2 linked regions of the Tribolium castaneum genome follow. The protein of the gene in region 1 purifies or fractionates together with the protein of each later gene. This does not show direct contact. Links are inferred from orthologs where the notes say so. Each region holds a gene or a part of one and is shown on either strand. Other genes may lie near its edges.

The links.
Region 2: the proteins of Prx5 (region 1) and protein dj-1beta fractionate together in Homo sapiens (co-fractionation; 3 studies listed by BioGRID). This does not show direct contact. The link is inferred for Tribolium castaneum from reciprocal best matches to the Homo sapiens genes PRDX5 and PARK7.

Annotation. Positions count from the first base shown.
Region 1 is NC_087402.1:1,937,833-1,940,859, forward strand, and holds Prx5 (peroxiredoxin-5, mitochondrial), read right to left. Parts: upstream 1,475-3,027; 5' UTR 1,413-1,474; coding exon 1,305-1,412; intron 1,233-1,304; coding exon 1,098-1,232; intron 1,048-1,097; coding exon 724-1,047; 3' UTR 514-723; downstream 1-513. Other genes in the region: RNA-binding protein Rsf1, read right to left, coding at 2,453-3,010. UniProt on the Homo sapiens protein: Thiol-specific peroxidase that catalyzes the reduction of hydrogen peroxide and organic hydroperoxides to water and alcohols, respectively.
Region 2 is NC_087401.1:11,635,656-11,638,757, reverse strand, and holds protein dj-1beta, read right to left. Parts: upstream 1,691-3,102; 5' UTR 1,668-1,690; coding exon 1,500-1,667; intron 1,449-1,499; coding exon 1,223-1,448; intron 872-1,222; coding exon 624-871; 3' UTR 582-623; downstream 1-581. Other genes in the region: thioredoxin-related transmembrane protein 2 homolog, read left to right, coding at 1-54, 103-581; uncharacterized protein pasi2, read left to right, coding at 1,976-2,173, 2,229-2,358, 2,407-2,501. UniProt on the Homo sapiens protein: Multifunctional protein with controversial molecular function which plays an important role in cell protection against oxidative stress and cell death acting as oxidative stress sensor and redox-sensitive chaperone and protease.

The sequences.
Region 1 (3,027 bases):
TTTGTCTTGTTACTACGTCTATGCATTATGAAAACATGTGTTTTTTATATAACTACACTGTGATATAAAATGCAAAAGCGCTGACCAAAGTATTATGTACGTATTTTAAATAATTTATTGTGTAAATCGTAACAATTGTAATACAAATACCAAGAGTCAACATTTGATATGGTTAAATATTTTAGCATTATTTACTTAATTCTCGTTATATTGAATTTTACATATCTGTTCATAACACAACAATCTTTTTTAAATTATTTATTCTTTAATAAGACTTATTCATATTCATGGCAATGTGAGGCAAGTCAGGTGTAAAAACAGCAGAACCAATCGATACGATTTGCATAATTAAAAACTTTAACTGTTAGAAAAGCACAATTACTCAGTCGATATTTAAGCAAATGATTCCAAGAATATTTAATCATTTCCTTAGTTCCTGCCGACATTTGATTTAAGAAAAAACAATTTTTTAGGAAAATGGATATGGAAAAAGTGTTAATTACAATACGATAATTCTTTGTAACGGTTTATTAATTATCACTAGTACTATAATTAAACCTATAATAATCAATGAATGCTATTTGGTCTTGCAACGAGCCTTGAAAATAGTTTTAATCAGAAACTAAAAAACTTAGTTAATAATAAAAATATCAACCATAAATTCCTATCCTCGATAAAATAAAATAATGCAACATTACAACAGCACTTCAAAGACATGTTGCTTTACAATTTGATTGCATTGGCTAGGGAGCAGGTCAAGCCAGTGCCGTCAGGTTCAACCTGAAGCGAGGTAATTTTGCCATTGTCAACAACCATGGAGTACCTCTTGCTCCTAGTGCCCCCAAGTGGGGCAATATCAACAGTCAAATCTAAAGCTTTGGTAAAAGCGGCTGAAGGATCGGCCAAAAGTCGGACTTTTCCGGTTGTTTTTTGGTCTTTAGCCCATGCTGCCATAACAAATGGGTCATTTACAGAAACACAAAATATCTCACTGATCCCTTGACCCTTTAATTCCTCAGCTTTCTGTACGTAACCAGGTAGGTGAGTCTGGAATGATCGCATGTAATAATAGTGCGCAATTCAAGGACAGTTAGTACTTTCGAACAACCGGGTGTAAAAGCACCAGGGACTGCAAAAATGATTATTTTTTTACCGGCTGCCAGTTGGGCTAAGTTGACTTTGTTGGTCGGGAGGTCTTCAAAGAGGTCGACGTTTGGAAGGGAATCTCCGACCTGTTATAAACAATAATATAAACATAACCATTTTCACATGTGATTATGTTACATAATAAAGAGCTATATTACCTTTGCAGGCATGTTGAGTGCTGTTGTTGTTTTCAGTGTTCTTTTAACAAACTGAGTTAACAATGAGTTGCAAATGATTCTGCTCGACGTCAGTTGACCAACATTCATTTTATACCGGCTTTTAATTATTTAGAAAAGTGAATAAGAGATGACCTTGGTGTCTTAAAACGACTGCGCAGTGCAACCATGCACCCACCAGTACTATTCAATTTTTAATTCTCAAGGCAATTAATTGATTTAGCGTAATTCATCCGGAAAGCATTTGCAAGGAAATACATTTTTTAGTTACATTTAATCTAAATTCGTGTTCAGAATTATCCTCGTGAGTCACATCTGTAACTGTAGTAAATAATCGGTGGTAGTATTTAGTAAAGACGGCATTTGAACCTAGTTTCTGCGAACTTTTGTAAAATAATTGTATTCCCGATGGAAAAAATGTCACTGAAACGCAAAAGTAGCGAAATAATTGGGTTTCGCAAAATTTTATAGAAAAAATGCGCTTTTATGACCACATTCCGCCAAATAATGCAATTTTTTAGTTCAAATGAATTTAGTTTGTCAGATATTTCGCTTATGTTCTGTTGAATAATTTATTTATGAATTTCTCGGGATGCAGTTATTCCAGGAATAGTGGAATGTCCTTATTAAAAAAAATCATGGAAGCTACATAGGTACTCGGAAGGATAGTTTGAAGGGCAGCAATTAAAAAATGATCAATAAGATCTAACACTTTTATTATTAGTATTGAGCCTTTTGTACAAATAAAGAGTGGCGATTATTTAGTAAAAATATCGATTCGATATTTGCAACTGATTATGCCATTACAGTAAAGGGTGATTCATCCCACAAACAACAATGAAAAGAAATTAAGTAATGAAAAACAGTGAGACACACTGTGTATGACCGGAAAGCCATTAAAAACCGTGTGTTAACACGTGATATTTGTTAAGGTACTAGATTTTATTTCACTCTTACGAAGTAATAAAATAATCATCTAAGTTGCCCCTTGCAACAATAAATACGTCATCATCATCGTAAAGTTCAGATCCATATACTCACTTAAACTAGTCATACATCATCAGCTTTCCGCATTATTGTACTGAACGAAAATATAAAAAATAAGAATACAAACTATGCCTTAATCGTAACTAGTGTCTTGGTGGGGCTGCCGCCGGCGACCTTGACCTGAACCGGGAGCTACTACTATCGAACCTCCTGCCTCCGCCCCCTCGCCCATTGTAGCTATCACTCCTGCTCCCGTAGCCATCTCTCCTCCTGCTAAAATCCCTTCCGTAGGAGCGCCCTCCATCATCGCGCCTTCCTCCCCCGTAGGAATCAAAGCGGCCTCCAGGCCGCCCCCCGCGGCCGCCTCTGAAGCCGCGGTCGCCACCGTAGCCGCCCCCGCGGTACGGGGGCCCGCCTCGGCCCCGGCCGCCCCTAAAGCCCCCGCGGCGGGACTTGCCCCTCGCGATTTCCACGCGCAGCTTCGAGCCCAAGAAATCGGTGCCGTTGAGGCTATCACAGGCCGATTCGGCGTCGCTGTGATTGATAAACTCGATAAAAGCGAAGCCCGGGGGATTGAAAGCCACCCACACTGAGTTCAGTTTTCCGTACTTTTCGAACTCGGTCTCCAGGTCCTCCTTCTTGACGCTGTCTGTGAGACCGCCGACGTAGACTCTGGCGCTTCGTTCTTCGCGATCGCCCATGGTTCTGTGGAACGTAG
Region 2 (3,102 bases), on another chromosome or scaffold:
TATGGTTCAACGCCGATTTTCTGATGGGCATTATCTACGGGATCATATTCATCTGTGAGTCATTTTGTGTCATAATTGTCGCATTTAATTGGGTGATTTCAGTGGGGGCGTTGCTATTTCCCGAGCCCACGTATTCCGGCCCTGACAATGTCATTTATTTCCGGGGCATGCAAGGCTTGGACGAGGAATTGGCACGTAGTCGGGACGGCTATTGGTTGGTCACGTTTTACACCGTCTGGAACCCGGCTTGTGTGAACTTCGCCCCGGTTTTCGCAAAACTGAGCACCGAATATCACTTGGAGAATTTCAAGTTTGGGAAAATCGACGTGGGGCGATACCCCGATGCCGCACAGAAATATCGCGTGAATGACAGCAGTTTAAGTAAGCAGTTACCCACGACAATTCTGTTTAAAGAAGGGAAAGAAGTGGTGCGGAGGCCGGCTATTGACTCAAAAGGCAACATTTTGAAATTCTTTTTCTCGAGTGAGAACGTTAAAGGGGCTTTCGATCTCAATAACTTGTACGAAGAGTGCAAGAGCGCGCTTAAGAATAATAAGAACAAACACGTGAAGAACGACTAATTATTGTTATTTATTTGTTTCTAGTGCCATAGTAATAAATTGTTAATACGACAAAAGCATGGCTTTGGCCACTTCTGCCGCCTTGTCCTTTCCGACAAGTTTGTCCACTAGGGTTAGGGCGAAGACGAAGGCAGTGCCAGGCCCTTGACTTGTAACCAGAGTCCCATCAACCACAACTGGCTCCTTTTTGTATTTATATTGACCACCTTCGAGCATTTGCGCCTCCATGGCTGGGTACGACGTCACAGTCTTGCCCACATAAACCCCATGGGCCTTCAAGGCCGTGGGCGCTACAACCCCATAATTTTAACATAGGCAACCAATTATACAGGTGACACAGGGCTGTGTAACTTTGCTATTTGAAATATTGCTATGCTGTTTTCATTATCCGATAGATCGACTTAAAATCCACAAACTAAAAATATTTTTATTATACACAGGGTGTTGTATAACGGAATTATTCAACTTCTGGTTATAAAAAAGACCAATTTTTGAAAAATCATAACGAAGTCGCCTATGAATATTTTCCGCCAAATTTGCAATAGAAAAATTCTGAATACCTTGTAGTTTTATCAAATAGATTACACACCCTTGGGTCACCCTGTATAATTAAGGAAATTTCACAGTAAATTATTACAAACCGGCACAAATCGCCCCCGTGAGTCGCCCCGCCGCCTCCTGCTCCCGAATCAACTCCCCTACTTCTTTAGACGCGGCCAAAGCCTTCGCCCCTCCTAGCCCCCCAGGTAAGACAATTGCGTCAAAGGGGCCTTTGGCCTCACAGATTGAAATGTCAGGTTTAATGTTGACACCGCGGCTGCACTTGATGATGTTGGCGTCCGGTAGGCCTGCAACTGTTACTTCCACCTAAAAATAACAGGAAAAATTTGTGTTTTTTTTTAGTAGGGGTTAATTTACACCGCCTCTGCGAAGTACGTCAATTGCGATTACAGCCTCCATTTCTTCAGCGCCTCCGGCGAGGAAAACAAGGGCTTTTGTGCTCATATTCGAAATAAAACGCACCGCTAATCCTAACCTATTAAAGCGAGTGAGCGGAGCCCTAAAACTTTGACATATGACTGACATTGGAGTAGGTCATGCCAGTTTGGGGATTTTGTTCGCGTTAGGTTGTTCAACAAAATTGCATATTTTGCAAAAAATAAAATTGGAAATAAATACACGTAATTCCCCTTGTGTCCGTACTCCCTAAATTAATGTCATAATGACTGATTTTGTTTAATTACGGTAATTACATCCTTGTAATTAACACACCTAGTTAGTTGGTGTTGCAAGGTTGGCGGCGGAATTTGACGTTTGCCACACCTATTTGTTTACCTACCCAAATGTGTCATACCTTTATTTATTGATTTAATTGTTAAAAAATACATAAAAACATGAATTACGGCAAGAAATCGCCAACGACTGGCACCCCCTCGGTGTACTCACACGTCACAACACGCAGCAGTGCGAATTTGCGAAGTAGCCGAAGTATAAAATCGTTGAAAATCCCTTGGTACAGAAAACCAATCATAACCGAATCTTATATTTTGGACGTCCAGAGATCCTCCCTATTAATCGGAGTGTTTTCTTTGGTATGTTACGCCCCCTTTGTTTAAATATCACATTTTCATAAATTTCATGTTTTAGCTGTTGTCCATCTTCACAGTTATCACAAGTTGCTTCGATCTCTACTGCTACTCAATGGCAGTCCCAGGGTCCGTCCACACCGGCTATTACGTTATTTCCTACCAGTTTATTTACGTGGGAAACCGTCACGGTAAGCCCACCATTTAATCGCCCATTTGTCCTCAATTTGTTGTTTTAGTCCGCAATACTCTTGTAATGTTTGCTGCTTTTTCCATTCTTCTGGCAATTGGTGTGTTTGTGACCAGCATTATGCTTATAATTGCTCTCCGGAAGGTAAAACTACAAAACTTTGATTTGTTGTTGTTGGTACTTGTTGTGGTGGTGGATAGGTGGCGCTAAATGTAACGAGTCACGAATATCATACGTACGGGCCAGGATATAAACGAAAGGCTGATTTTCAAACATCACTCTGGTTTCCCTTCAGTGCGAATAAATCTTTCGCCTTTTACTAAAGATTTCCGTGGAGGGGAACAATTCAAATGAGTCTATGAAAATTTCTTGATTGCCCGGCGAAAGCTGGGCGCCTGATTTAATTAAAGCAATATTTTCCATGTTACTTTTAAGTAAGTGGTTTTTTAATTGTATTATAATATCCACTTTTGCGCACTCTTATAACTAAGTTTGTACAACGACATGTACTATTATAGATTATACGGACTGTTTATAAATATTGTAGGATCTCAGGTGGTTCTGGAATTTGAATTTGCGTCTATTTGTTAAAACTGCAAGGTATTCTGATTTTTTTATTGCAAATTTTCCGAAAAATATTCATAGACGACTTTGCAGTGATTTTTTATCTTTTTTATAACGAAAAGTTGATTAATTTTAAAACGAAAAAAGATAGAACCATAATAGTTTATATAAAGTTACATTA